Alligator mississippiensis: one gene and its partner. The protein of the gene in region 1 interacts with the protein of each later gene in a biochemical or structural test. Links are inferred from orthologs where the notes say so. Each region holds a gene or a part of one and is shown in the gene's direction. Other genes may lie near its edges.

Region 1 (7,940 bases):
CAGTATATTTCATTCCTACTTAAAATATTAAGCATGAAAAGACAGAAAGGTAGAACCTGTTTTATCAAAGTTATTGTTTCACATGATATAAAACTCTGCTTATGCAGATGATCTCTAACAGCTCTCAGTTTCTTTGAGTTAATACATAATCAAACTGTTCAGAGAAAAACAATGATATATCAAATGCCTTGTGAAAGCATAGAAACAGGTAAACTGATGGACAGTCATGTTCAGTTTCCAAAGGGACTAATACATTAAGATAGCTTTTTATATACTATTCTGAGATCCTCAAATATTGTAAGTGAAGAGCAACATACTCTATGTAAGTACAGAAGTACCACAACTGTCTCTATGCTTCTCTACCAGTCTGCTTCAGTCCTGAAACAACTAGTTTTCAGCTCCAGAAATGAGTCCCTCTCCCTTCCCCGCACACCATAACTTAAGTCTTACCTTCTTCGTCAAGTCCACCGATTATGTTATAAACATAGTAAGGAAAGAAGCGTCGAGAATACAGGATTGTTGACAACATTGCTGCAATAGCCCCAGTAGTCATCGTCTTGTTGTTGGAATGCTTGTACATCTACAATCAAATGCAAAACACAAGCAGGTTAAATACTAAAACAATAGTGTATATAGAGTGAATTCTAAAGATTATTTTTACAGAAAGAAATTTTCATACTGTGCTTTATTAAAAAGGAAGCAGATGGACAAAGCAGAAGTTGCGACTGGAATGCATACGATTGCTAAAAATAATCAGTCTAAAAATGAGTTTGTCAAAATTTAAATGTGGTGCATTTCTTTTCTTGCCTAATGTATCAGAAGTTCAGACACCAAATTTGTGTCCTACAAGTTTTGAAAGAACAGATATCATTACCTGGTTATAGTACTGTTAGGGTATTAAAACTAGCTTCAAGATTTGCATATTCAATATTTTTAATTTTACTCAGTTAAAATAGGAAGCATTGCATTACACTGGACACAACCAATGTCAGGAGAACACCCGAATCAAAACTATGACCCTTTTTAATTCACTAGTTACATTTTAAGTTCTTCATTTGGTCACATTATTGCTCTATTACACTTGACTAAGAGTAAGGTTCTTACAATTTTTTTGTTTGTTTTTTTTGTTTGGTTGGGTTTTTTTGGGGTTTTTTTGTTCTTTGTTTTTTGGGTTTTTTGGGTTTTTTTTTGTTTTTTTACATACAAAACATTATTAATATTGTAACTACCTTTAATCTTGCTTCAATAATTTTCGTAAGCGTAAGGCAGTCACCATGAAAACCACTGCATCCAATGACTGTTTGGTCTGTTCTGTAAAATGCAAAGTTTGGAAAATGTTTTAGCGTGCCCCATGACTACAAACTATCATATCACCACTAGCATAAAATCATTTGAAAAACATGGAATATTTGTATACCTAGCTTCCTTTAATGCATTGCATCAGCCTGTTCAGTAGGAATCTGCAGACCCCCAAAATGGAAGCCACTCAGATGAGTGGTTAAAAGTGAAAAATTGTAAAATAGGAGAAAAAAATTCTAATCCCACTTCTGCCAGGTAATTTGATGGGTATGCGATTTAACCAATTTGCCTTACATCCAGATTTACAGATTTTACCAGTGCTTTGAGGTGGAATAGAAAAAAAACTATACAGATACAGGTTTTTAATATTAAACCATTATTAAAAATTAGAGGGAGACAGATACTTCAAACCTAAAAGCATTTACAAACTCAACTATGAAATATACCATTCATAGGATGTCATCTAGACAGCTGTAGAGCACAATTAACTTCAACAATCTAAAGATGAAAATATTGTCTTAATTCATGTTTGTCAGTATTACCAAAGCTACTTATTTCAATACAAGAGATGGTGCCAAGAAAACCTATCTTGATACTACGAGGAAGCTACTGATATGCTAAGGAGCTAGCCAGGAGAAACCTGAACCCCTGAGAACTGTGCCAATGATAGCAGAGGGCTTGCCTCTGTAGCTAGTGGCAGCCTAGAGTGGGAGTGAGGCATTTAAATGCAAGTAACAATAAACTTGCTGAAACCAAGGGGACACTATCCAGCTGCTTTGAAGGAAGCATATGAAGAATGTGAAACAAGTTTGATAATGGAATTGCTGACAGGTTCCCTGATGGTCTCCAGTGAAGTAGACAGCTCTGAAGTGCCAGATGGTCTACTGAAGCAACAGTGAAATAGTGACATACCTGGGGTATAGCCAGCAGTGGTAGCACTTGTGTCCCAACTACCAGGCATCCAGAAGAAACAAAGCCACTTGCTGCAGAGCTAAGCACTGCTACAATTAACTGAATCTTCTCATTGGTATTCATCCAAAAAATAGTCTGTCTACTTAGCTTGTATTTTTAAAATCAAGTCTAATTTGGTATTGAAAAACATCCTTTGTCAGTGAAATTCAAGTATTAGAGTCAAACTAAGAAATATGATCTCAATTATGGCATTACAAGAGAGTACAAATGCAGCCAGATTGCTTTCTTACTGAAACGTCCTTTTGCAAATGAAAATGCTAGTCATTGACCCTCTACAGGTTACTAAGTTAATCAGTGGAACAGATCTTATAAGCAAGTTTTTACTTTGCCCAAGATTAAAACTTACAGTTTGTAGCATTTGGGACTGTCCCGGCTATGAATTGCATAACCTTCACTCAGTCGTGTGTCTGAGGCAACGACAGAAAAGTCTTCTCCAGCAATTGCCAACACGGTCCTTTAAAAAAAAAAAAAAAAAAAAAGTAAATCAATATAGAATTACAATTTCTAACATAAACATTCACTCAACAGAGAGGAAAAGGCACACCAAATGAGTGGTTCTCAGTCTGGTTTGAAAAGATTTGTCAGTGATGGAGCAGCTTTCATTCTACAGGAAGTTCTATTTCTTCCTACATGGCATAAGATTTGTTTTCTTTTTTCATTTTTTAAGAAATGGAACAAAAAGCGCACTGTTGCAGCTCATTTACATCTACATGCTATGTGGGATGTGTGTGTAAATTCAGTTATAATTAAGTTTACAGAAATCAGAGGAATTCAGCAGACTAGCAAGGTGACAGAAGCTTTTGGTGAGCACTGTAACCAGCCTAAAAACTGGCAGTAATTCAACCCTAATAATAGAAAGCCTTACGAATGGCAAGATGAAACAGCCCACAGATACGAGGCAAATCTGTAATTAAGGAGCAATGCTCTCACATTCCCCCCCCCATATTCTTTTCAAATAGCCAACTGTCATAGCTGCTGCATGTGAACTGTGGGCTTATGAACTAGGAAAGCTGCTTGGCACCATCTGCCTTAAAATGCAGTCCAAACTATGAAAATGCTTCTGGACCAGTCAATTACTGGTGCATCAGGCTAAGAACGTAAAGTGCCATGCTGGGTTGGACCAATGGTCCATCTAGCTCAGTACAGCCCCACGTTCTCTGCTCAGTGCCCTCCCTTCAGAAGTCTTGTTATAAACCTGTAACCATCAGTCCTGCCCATTTTCTTTTGAGGTGTCCTGGGTAATCAGCTGCCGTGCCTCTAGTGAACAAGGGAGGCTTATAGTTTTTGCGATGGGCCTAGGCCAACGTTTCCCTTGGCATAGCAAATAGACCTGTCTTCAACAGTGTCAGAAGTGGAAACTAAAGGGGGAGCATCAAACCAGACCTAGTGATCAATCCCCTGTTCATCACCCTCCTTAGCATCTGCCACTCTTGGTTTAGAGACACCAGAGAAAACATCTACCATACCATTCAAAAGCCATTAACTGATCTATCCTCCATGAATGCACCCAGGCCCCTTTTTTGAAAGTGGCTGTGCTACCAGCTCCTACCACCTCCTGTGGGAAGTCAAGGTTCTGGCCAGGGGAATCTCAGGCTGGTGTGAGGTTGTTTCCTCTCACTCATCTGCTCACATCTCTGGGAAGTTTCAGGGGGAAGCTGCAGCCCAGTCTGTTAAGAGCCATGAGTCCTGGATATGGCACAAAGGGACAGAACTGCTCATAAGAGCTGCTATTTCTTCGGTCAGAGCACGGGTCCACTCTCCCCATCTCCTGTGTCACAGGGCGCCTGCTTCAAGCGCACCTGGTCGCTGCCCCTCTTCCACCTCCTCCAGAACCTCCTGCTGAGGGCCTGGCTACACTGCTCCCTGCACCTTTTCTTTCACAGACTTCCCGCCCGCAGTCCCACCACGTCCCGGGACCTCCTGGCCAAACTAGCCATCTGTAAGACCAGGAAGGAGGCTGTGGTCGGGAGAAGCACAGGCAAGTGCGGGGCCACTTCCCTGGCGCTCTTCCGTTCACATCACCACACTGAGTGTCACTGACCGGCGTCCACAGACTCCCTCGACCCCTTCAAGGGGCAGAGGTGCTAGCCAGTGTGCTCGGTTCGGCGTCCACTTCTGATGCCTTAGTTATTAACCTACGACCTCAAAGATTTTGGGGGTCAGAAGGGACTTCAGTAGATCATCCATCCTAACCCCCCGCCCGGCAAACCCTTCACCTCCCCCCCGCGCCTCTTTTCCAAGCGGGGCGGCGCCTCCGCCGCTGGAGGGGACCCCACGCGGCCGGGGACAGGCAGGGGCGGCCGGGGGAGGGGCAGGCAGCCGGGGCGGCTCACCCGCCGTTGAAGGTGTAGGGGGAGAAGCGGTGGCTCGTGGCAGCGCCGAGGCCGCAGTCCCGCCTGAGCCCGGGCTCCGCATAGCCAGCAGCGAACGCAGACGACAGCATCCTGCAGTGCCTCCGATCCAGGCCGTGCCTGCTGTCTCACGGCAAAATGGCAGCACCGGAAGCGGAAGTCCTCCCAGCCTCGCTCTTGAAGACGCTCTAGGTTCCCCCTCCAACTCGTCTGCTCCCAAGGTGGGGAACCACCCCCCTCCACAGCTATAGGGCGGCGTGCGGCGCATGCGCTGAGCTGGCAGGACCTTTTTCCCAAGCATGTCACCCCGGGGGCGGTGTTCCCTAGCTCCGGGAGGAGCCGTGTAGTAGGCTGCTTTGCCCTCTCTCAAGATGGCCGCCGAGCGGGATTCGAGGGGAGGGGGAAATAAAGGCTGCTACGGGCGGAACTGACGCATTTTGATCGCGCGGCGGTGTAGGCTGGGGTTACCATCGGTGCTGCAGCCGACGCTGGGTCCGGGCAGCGGGCGGAGGGCCTAGAGCGGAAGGTACCGGCCTCGCTTCTATTCCCCCTTCGCGCGCGGTGGGGGGCGGAGCCTGCTGATGTCGGGCCCGCGCGGCCCTTCCCCGCCCGCCTGCGGCGCGAGCGCTGGTTCCAAGCGGCCGTTGGCGTCTCCCCCCGCCGGGCGCTGCAGGGCCCTCACCCCGTCCCCCCGTGGAGCCGCTGGGGGAGCGGGGGGGGGGAGCCCAGGGTAACGGTTCTGCCCCCCCACCCCACGCGGGACCCGCGCCTCACGCATCCACGTGGGCACACTCATGCTTCACTTGTTTATAGATTATTATTAAATAAGCAATTATTTATAAGGAAATATTATTAAATTACAAATAATAATTATAGTACTAGGTGAGCAGGTTTTCTCCAGGCTTCCCTGCTGCCAGAAAAGAAACCTGGGAGTTTTCCCCCTCCCCGGCGAAGCGGTTGCTGTAGAAAGCCATACCTGCTTGCACTATGGTGGCCATCATAGAGGACAGTCTGCTTTTCTGTTCCTCCATCCTCTATTGATATGAAACCTGATGCCATAATGTCCTCTATTTTTCTCTTCAAGAGACCCAATGCCTTTCTCTTCAAGGAACCTGACTTCTCTTTCTTGAAGAGAAAAATAGAGGACATAAAGGCATGGGGTTTCATAGCAGTAGAGGACAGAGGACAACCAGACTGTCCCCTATGATGGCCGCCCTAGCCTGCATGCACCCAGCATCTGGCCTCAGAGAGGAGCGGCCTGGTTGCAGCGCACTGGTGTGCTACCAGCGGGCAGGCAGGGCAGTTCGGCAAACCGCTCCTTTCTCGTGGGAGTCGGCTGTTGCAGACTCTCATCTCTTCTTGTCCTCATTGCTGCACATTTGGGTTTCGTAGACTTGCATTTTTTAATAGGATAACGATAATAATAATTATTACTATTATAGTAGCGTGAGAGTGCACAAACACCAGCAGAGTCTCCCCATGCCTGGAGAAGTGCTTGTGCCCAAAAGCTTGCAAAAAACGATCTTTCCAACTATTGGGTTGGTCTAATAAAAGATCACACAGTAAGTTGTAAGAAGAATTGATAAAATATTAATATTGCAGTGATAATCCAGTATTTTACATTGTTGCTAAAGGAACACATCCTAGCATTGAAATTCACTTGAGAGAATAGTGCATTGCCCAAATAACCCTGTCTGCTAGTTTTTCATAACATTTTTTGTGCATCTTCATGGTGAAATGCCTCAGCGCTTTATGCTGGTTCAGGCTGGGGAAGGAGGTTGTTTCCCTGGTCATTTTTTGGGTAACAGGATTTTGCTCTTAAATGACTTCCAACTGCCTGGAACTCGTGAACGCTTTAAAATTATGGTAAGACTTTAAAGATATCCAGGTTGTAATTATGGTAAGACTTTAAACAATTTTAAGCACATTTTGCTGATATATTTGGAAGTCTTCATAAACAGTGGTTCAGTCCTGAAATCACTTGTGTGTGCAGTCCTGCTGAAACCTACGGGTCTGTTCATGTAAGTAAAGCCACTTGTATGGACAGATTTTTAGGGGAAGGGTTGTTTCTATGGCAGCACAGGTGTGTACAAAGAAATGTGTTTAAAAATGTACTTAAGATGCGGCTGAATACATTTTTAAAGGTGCTGTTACCAAGAGTGTTTTCTATCTTTTTCAGGTTTTGAATTGTGTTTTAGATTTGCAACACGTTTTTCTGGAGCTAATGTTTTTAATAATCATTCAGAAGTGGCTGAAAATCTAGTTGCTGGAATGCTTTAGGGGAAACGACTTCTTTATCGTGTGGAATTATTGTTCTTGAATTACTGGAAATAATTCTGGCCTGACCAAAGAAGTAATTGGAATCATGGATCAGAACAACAGCTTGCCGCCCTATGCCCAAGGACTGGCATCACCTCAGGTAAAAATAAGATATTTAAAAAATTTAAGTGCAGGATAAAAGTCTTTGCAGAAAGGATTTCAGTTTCATGTGTAAACAAACATGAATAACTCCATTAGATGCTGACTATATAAATGCTTACAACTACAACAGCTTAGTGTGGTGATCTGCAGTCCCAGGAATATTTGCTTGATGGAAACTTGTTTGAAATTTTAGGCTAAAAGCAAACTGGACTGTCCCTTAGCCTTTTATAGTCAAAACTTAAATGACAATTGACTTGAATTAACTGTGATTATTCTGAGAGACACTGTTAATTTGAATACTTCACAGTTAGTTAATGTAGCACAATGGTTTTGGCAGTAGTCTGTAAAATCTGGGGTTTGTGTCTGGGGTTTGCTGAGAGAGAAAATGCTCAAATCCAAATCAAAACATTCATTTGTTTTTAGCTTTGGTAGCATTTTTAAGTGTCTCCAGTTTCTGATAAAATATTATTTCAGTGTAGTCAGATATTTGCAAAACAAATCCTTAATATTTGTAAGGAAATGCATCTTATGACCCAAAATCTCACTGGCTTTTGTTTTTTTCTAATTGAAATGTATTCGAACAAGGCATTGTGGTATGCATACACTGACACTGAATAATCCTTTCCTGGTTGGTGGAGAAGAGAAAGCATTATCTCTATTTCAGTGGTTCCCAAACTGACAGATTACATACCACCAATTTAAATTTAAAGTACCACCAGCAAATTTTTGTCATATAAAGTCATTATAATAAATCTGTTAATGCTACCACTGACAGGTTGTCTGCGTACCACTGGTAGTACCCATACCACAGATTGGGAACTGCTGTTGTGAGACTTTTTCTGTGAAGTAAAATACACTTTGAGGGATATTAAGTTCTTATTGTTTGGGCTGGTGAAT
Region 2 (7,051 bases), on another chromosome or scaffold:
GGGGTGGGGGGGACAGATTTAAAGCTTATTTTTATGCCGCTAATAAACCCGAGTCAAATGCGGATCCTGGGCTGGCGTCTCCCTGCTGCGCCCAGACTGGGGATGACCCCGGGGGGAGGGGGCTGTCTCTGCTTAGTGGGACCAGTCTGGGGCAGGGGATTTCAAGGGCCTGTGGCCGAGATGGGACGGGGGTGAGGGGGTAGAGGCAGGACGCCTGGGTTCTCTCCCGGGCCTGGGAGGGGAGTGGATGCTGGGGTAGGGCAAGAGCAGGGGAGGCTGGGAGCCAGGACACGGGTCTGGAAGGAGGTGGAGGGGAGACTCAGATCCCTTCCTCCTCGGGCTGCCATGACCCGGCAGAGGCAGGCTTGGAGACATGTAGGTGCCTAAATCCCTTGGGCCCTAGTCTGGGATGTCCCCTCTAGTACCCCAGAGCCAGGGGTCTGCAAAAGCCTTGGGTGGGGGGGGGGAAGAGGAGGAGCCAGAGGGAGTCAAGAGCTGCTGATTGGCTGGAAAGGAGTCATTTTTATTGAGCTTTGTGACCTCTTGGAGCTTTAAAGGGCCACTGCACCAGCCTCACTGCAGGGCTCTGCATGAAAGGGGCAGCACCTTGAGAAAGAGCCCCTGCTAGGGGGCAAAGAGCTGTGGCACTTTAAAAACAGTGGGTGGGGTGAAGTGGGGGGCAGAGCCCCTCCAGTACAGGGCCATGAGAGAGTTAAGCTGCCAGAGCTCCTGGACCACACTTCCCAGCAGGCCCTGAGCCAGGGAAGTAGTGCATGCTGGGACTTGTAGTCTCCACCCCAGCCCCAGCCCAGCCTGTGCATGGGGGCATGCCTACTAGCCCCTCCTCACCTAAGGAAGCAGTGTAATACTGGGATACAGGACCTCAGCCGCACAGCTCCAATTCAGGGGAATCAGACCCCACAGGAGCAATGCATGGTGGGACACACTGCTCCAGTCCAGGCAGGGCCAGAAACCCCCCCCCCCCCCAAGCAGTGCATGCTGTGACATGTAGCCTCACTCCCACTTCAGGTGAGGGGGGCAGACAATCTAAGGGAGGGGCAAGACCCTACACCCCACACAGAAGCAGTGCATGCTGGGATAAATAACCTCAGCCCCACAGCTCCAGTCCAGGGAGGCAGATAGTCCAAGATAGGCAGAAGGGGACAAGACCCCCACCCCCTCCACAGGAGCAGTGCATGCTGGGACACAGAGCCTCACCCCATTACTCCAGTCCAGGGACAGGGGGGTGAACAGTCAAAGGGGGGGGCCGGGCCCCCCCACAATGCTTAAGTGACCTCGGCATTGGTAACCTTGTTGAGGACGCGGGAGCGCCGGGGCACGCACTCCAGGTCGAAGCGGCTCTCGTAGATGGTAGGGCAGAGGCGCCAGCGGTTGTCGCGGTAGATGCCCAGGTAGGTGTAGACATCGGGCTTGTAGGCCAGCGGGCACTTGACGCCAGCAGCCCGGATGGCAGCGTCGGCAGCTAGCACATGCTCCTCATCTGTGAAGTCATCCGTGTAGACACACACCACGTGGCGCCGTTCACCATCAGGGTGGCAGGGGCTCACCTTGGCCACAGTGAAGCGCCCGTCCAGCACGGCCCGGGCCACACCAGCCCAGGCGTGGTCCACCTTGAAGCCTGTGTCCAGGTGGATGAGCCACTTGCCCGTGAGCACGCCGTGGTTGAGGGCCAGCTCCCGCACTGTGGTGTGGGTCACGGAGCGGCCGCTCAGCTGCAGCCGCTCCCACGCCTCCTGCAAGCCCACCACGTCACCCGCCTCAGGACTGTAGCCGGGACCATACACGGCAATCCAGCCCACGGGCCGTGGGCCATAGCGGGCCACACGGGAGGGCGGGTAGGTGGCCAGCCATGCCTCAAACTCGGCCCGAGGGGTGCGCCGGGCATCAAACACCACCCACGGGTCCATGTCGGCTGCCATTGACTCGGCCGCCAGCTGCTCAGCTGAGAAGGGGCCATCCCGGCCCCCGTCGCCCTCATCCTGGTCTGACATAGCTGCTGGGTCCTGGAGCAGGCACCTGCCAATGCGGGGGAAGGTAGGGGGGAGGTATGGGAAAAGGTCAGGTGTCACAGCTGCCTTATGGGAAGGCTGGGAGGCAGGTGGGCTAATTAGTTTGGAGTGACAAGCTTGTTAGGGTGAGGAGCGGGCAAGGTAATTAGCTCTGAGAAAGGGGCTCTAGCTTTGCACTGGTCAGGCTAATTAGCTTAGGTAAGAGGCAGGCAGACTAATTAATTCTGAGGAAGAGGCTCCCTTGTTTGGCAGGGGCCAAACTAATTACCTTAAGCAGGGGGCAGGCAGGCCAATTAGTTTCAATTAGGGAGGGCAAGCTAATTCAGGTATGGTGCAGGTGGGCTAACTGGCAGGTTGAAAGGCTCATCAGCTTCACATAGGACAGGCAGGCTAATTACCTGGTCAAAGGGGTTTATTTTCAGTAATTGCCCTAGGTTTGGGGCTAATTCACTCCATCAAGGGGCTCTTCAACTTTGCACAGGAGCAGCTAATCAGCACAGGCGGGTGGGCTAAGCTGACTGAAGAGCCTGACTGTTTTGGGAGCTACCGTTAGGGGAAGGCTGCTTAATTAGCCCGAGGATAGTACAAGCGGGCAGGCTAAACAGCTCCAATTGGAGGGGGATGGTTAATTAATTTAGGGTGCAGGCAGCTAATCAGTTGCGATTGGGAAGGGGGCTGGTTAATTAACTTACAGCACAGGGCTAGCTCCTCGGTTGTACGTTTAGCGTTGGTCGGGGGAATCCACAAGCCAATTAACCGAGCTATTAATTGGCTAGCAGCAGGGCTGTCCCTAGGGGGAGGTGAACAGAGGCAACTGCCCTGGGCCCCATGATTTCGGGGCCCCCATGGAGCAGCAGCTCTGCGTCCAGCCGCTCGCTGCACCCCACCAGCCTCTTTGGGTCCGGGGCCCACGGGAGCGAAGCAGGGGCAGGGCCCCGCACCCTGCTCGGGTCATCTCTGCCCGGCAGCTCTCTGCCCGGCAAGTAGCCCCAGAGAGCTGGGCTGGGCTGGGGCTCAGGGAGCGGGAAGGTGAGGGCTCTTTTACCCCCTGCCCTGCGGAGAAGCCCTCCCACCCCCAACGGCTTCTGATTCTGCCCCCCCACCCGGGGCAATCAACCCGCTCCCCCCAGCTGCCTCCACCCCAGGGCACTCAGCCGTGGAGGGACCCGTTCTGCCCCTGCCACGGGGGCCGCCTTACCTGCGGCAGAAGAAGGGAGCCGGGGCAGGGGGCTGCTGCCTGGTGCTGCCCTGGGGGAGAGAGGAGGCAGGTTGAGGCCGCCCAGTACGGGGCCCTGCCCAGCACCAGGTGCCCCCGACGTGCCCCCCAGCCCCATGATCAGCCGGCCCCGCGCCCCCAGCCCCCCCCCCCATAGGAGCCCCCCCAGCCCCATGTGCCAGGCCCCCTCCCCCAGTCGCTGCCCCGCCCCCGTGCCAGGCCCCCCCAGCCCCTCCCCTAATACGAGCCCCCGCCCTCACCTGGCCCCTCTCAGCGGCCCGCGGCCGCCGCCATCTTGAGGGAGGGGGCGGGGCCGAGCCCGGGGGGAGGCAACGGGGGGGGTCGGACGGGGGAAACCGGAAATGGCAGAAGCCGACACGGAGGTGCACGGAGGGTGAAGCAGGAAGTTACGTCTGGACAGAGGCGGAAAGGAGCTGCTCGGGAGGGGAGGACTTCCGGGAGAGGAGGGGGAGGGGAGGGGCTGCAATGAAAGGGCGGGGCCTCCGGGGGCGGGGCCCGGCTCGAAGGTTGCGGGAGGTACCTGGACAGCGCGGGGCGGAGTCAGCGAGACTAGGGGCGGGGCCCTCCCTGGCGGCTGGGGGAGCCCGGTGTGGGGGTAGGGGCGGGGCGTCCCCAGGCCGGGTGCGGGGCGAGCCGGGAAGGCAGTGTTGGGACAGGGCGGGCGCGGGGCAGGGGGCGGGGCCAGGCTGGGATGGGCGGTGCTAGGGCGCGGGGCAGGGGGCGGGGCCAGGCTGGGCGGGCGGCGCTAGGACCGGGCGGGCGCGGGGTAGGGGGCGGGGCCAGGCCGGCGGGCGGCGCTAGGACCGGGCGGGCGCGGGGCGCAGCGGGCCGCGATGCCGAGCAAGAAGAAGAAATACAACGCGCGGTTCCCGCCGGTGAGCCTGGCCCGGCGCCTGGGGCCCTTCCCCATCCTGGCGGGTGGGGGCTGCAGCCCGGACGGCGGGGCCCCTCGGGCGCCGGGTGGTCGCGCCTGGGCCCCTCCCTGGGCCCCCCCCCGGACGCCTCGGTTCCTTTCCGGGTCGTCCCCCCCCCCCGGCCACCCTGACCCCAACCGCCTGTGACCCCTGACCCCGCCCTAGCCGGCCCCGCCCCGCCCCGCCCATCCCCCGGAGCCTGCGCCCCTCTGGCCCCCTTCCCTGTGACCCCGACCTTCCGCCCTCGCCCCCCTCGCCCCAGGGCCTGTGACCTCGGACCTCGCAGCCTCCCCCGGGCCCTTCCCTCCTCCGGGGCTGGCCCCGGGGTATCTGTGGGGCCGGGCGGGTACGCGGCCCCCTGGGCTCCTTTGAAGACGAGGGCCTGGCCCGCATGCCTGGGCCCCTTCCCGGCACCCAGCTGCCTGGGGCCCTTTCTGGGGCCAGGGCCTGGCGCCCGGGTCCCTTCCCGACACTGGGGGTTTGGCAGCCGGACACCCCGGTTCCTCGTGGAGGCTCGGGCCCGGCAGCCTGGACTCCTTCCTAGGGCCGGGTCCAGCGCCCGACGCCTGGGTTGTCTGGGGCTCTGGGGGGGGGCTGGGGGGAGAGGGGTGGGAGCCGGGACACCTGGGTTGTCTCCGGCTGTGGGAGGGGGCAGAGGAGGCATGGGGGATTGCAGCTGAGTCTGGGGTGGGGGCACGGGGAGAGGAGGTCCGTGGGGGGCGTAGCGTAGAGGCATCTGGGAGCCCCCCGGTGCTGGGGGGGCGTGGGGCCCAGTGGATCAGAGCAGGGGAGTCTAGGAGCCCGGCTGCCTGGGTTTGATCCCCAGCTCGGCCATGCGAAAAGGTGGAGAGCTGGGATGCCGGGCACGTGGATGTCTGGGACCTCTGTCGGCTCTGGGAGGGGAGTGGGAGGAGGGGAGAAATAGCCCTGATCTGGGCCTGATCCTGGGGGGCTCTAGCTCAGGCTGCCCCCCCAGCTCTTGACCTGTTCCCACCCCCAGGCGCGGATCAAGAAGATCATGCAGACGGACGAGGAGATCGGGAAGGTGGCGGCTGCTGTCCCCGTCATCATCTGTATCCTTGGCAACGCCTGGACGCCTGCCTGGGTTCTCTCAGGGTCTGGGAGGGGAGCGGGGGCTGAGGGACCGGGCGGATGCCTGGCTTCTCTTGGACTCGGGGAGGGCAGTAGGGGCTGGAGCCCGGACACCTGGGGTCTCTCCCTTAACCCCTGCCTTGCCACAGCCCGGGCACTGGAGCTGTTCCTGGAGTCGCTGCTCAGGAAGGCCTGTCAAGTGACGCAGTCCAGGAACGCCAAGACCATGACCACGTCCCACCTGTGAGTGCCCCGGGTCCCGTCCCCTGGGCACCTGGGTGATCTGCCCGCTCCAGGAGGGGACTGGGGTCTAGGGGATTAGAACAAGGCGTGGGAGGGATCTGGGCTCTCTCCCTGCTCTGGAAGGGGAGTGGGCTGGGGGTGAAAGCGGGGGGGCTGGGAGCCCGCATCCCTGGGTTTCCTCCAGCTCGGGGAGGGGTGGGTTCCAGGGCAACGTTTCTCAATCTGGGGGTTACGACCCAGAAGTGGGTCGCAAGAACATACGAAAGAACAAACTTGAAAGTGAATTCTCCTTTAATGGAGATAAATGTGGGCACCGCGGCTCTTCCCTTGCAGGCGGGCAGAGCTCCAGCCTGCAAGGGGCTACTTGGGCCCTCTGCCCCACGCACTGGGGGCCGGGGCGTGGGGGAGCGGGTTGGGGCTGGCCGCTGAAGTGTAGAAATGGGTCCTGGTACAAAAAAGGCTGAGAATGGCTGTGCTGAGGGATTAGAGCAAGGGGCGGGAGGGGTCTGGGAGCTCTCCCCCTGCCTCACCGTGTCCCCTCTGGACAGTCCCAACCTGGCTTCTGTGCCTCAGTTTCCCCACTTTCAATCAACATGGGCTGGAGGGGCCTGGCAGGGGCTGTGAATCTCCCTGGCAGGGGGAAGTATCCTGCTGGGGGCTGTGGGAGACCTTGGGGATGTGATGGGTTGGGGGGAGGGGTGGGTTGTGGCTTGGCCCTGCCCCCTCTGACCCCCTGCCCCTCCCCCTGCAGGAAGCAGTGCATCGAGCTGGAGCAGCAGTTTGACTTCCTCAAGGACCTGGTGGCCTCCGTGCCCGACATGCAGGGGGACGCTGAGGACAACCACATGGAGGGCGAGCGGGTCTCCCGCAGGTGGGGGTCAGTGCAGGGCAGGGCCAGCAGGGAGTGCTGGGTAGTGAGGGGGTGGAGCCAGGTCTGGGGGGGCAGGGCTAGTGGGAGAGGCTGGGCTGCAGGGGTGGAGCCAGCTCTGGAGGGGCAGGGCCAGAAGGGGGTGCTGGGTGTAAGGGGTGGAGCTAGTGGGGGTGGAGCCAATGAGGAGGGGGTGCTTTAGCTCCACCAGCCCTTGTTGCCCCTGGAAAGCTAAGCAGGGTTGAAGAGGGTCTGTGTGTGGATGGGAGACCACCACTGCCCCTGCTCGGGGACACTTTCCCCATCTAGCACCTGACACCCCTTGGAAGCTAAGCAGGATCAGCTGGGATCACTTTGTGGATGGGAGACTGGGTGCCAATGCCCTGGCAGTAGGGGGTGCTGCAGGGGGGCTCTCTCCTTTTAGGCCCCAATACCCTGGGTGGGGGGTTCATCTGGGCTACCAGGGGCTCCATTGCCCCAAATTCTGAGACCTGCCATGCTGCACCCCAGAGGTGGCTGCAATTTGACTGCACCTACTGGGATTCAACCTGTGGGGGGGGCTCGGCAAGGGACTCTGATGCCTGGTGGGTCTATGCAGGGGCCGGAAGCCGGGCAGCGGGAGGAAGAACGGCGGGACAGGGGCCAAGGGCAAGGACCCTAAGCAGTC

The links. The genes of interacting proteins can lie anywhere in the genome.
Region 2: the proteins of TBP (region 1) and DRAP1 are reported together in a solved structure, tested with the Homo sapiens proteins (2 studies listed by BioGRID, with this or other methods). The link is inferred for Alligator mississippiensis from reciprocal best matches to the Homo sapiens genes TBP and DRAP1.

What each region holds. Positions count from the first base shown.
Region 1 is NC_081824.1:147,741,262-147,749,201, forward strand, and holds the start of TBP (TATA-box-binding protein), read left to right. Parts: upstream 1-4,921; 5' UTR 4,922-5,148; intron 5,149-6,801; 5' UTR 6,802-6,987; coding exon 6,988-7,041; intron 7,042-7,940. Other genes in the region: PSMB1 (proteasome subunit beta type-1), read right to left, coding at 451-580, 1,230-1,311, 2,618-2,725, 4,605-4,714. UniProt on the Homo sapiens protein: The TFIID basal transcription factor complex plays a major role in the initiation of RNA polymerase II (Pol II)-dependent transcription.
Region 2 is NC_081838.1:4,274,698-4,281,748, forward strand, and holds the start of DRAP1 (dr1-associated corepressor), read left to right. Parts: upstream 1-4,032; 5' UTR 4,033-4,100; coding exon 4,101-4,142; intron 4,143-5,181; coding exon 5,182-5,254; intron 5,255-5,422; coding exon 5,423-5,516; intron 5,517-6,267; coding exon 6,268-6,393; intron 6,394-6,982; coding exon 6,983-7,051. Other genes in the region: C15H11orf68 (UPF0696 protein C11orf68 homolog), read right to left, coding at 1,287-2,012. UniProt on the Homo sapiens protein: The association of the DR1/DRAP1 heterodimer with TBP results in a functional repression of both activated and basal transcription of class II genes.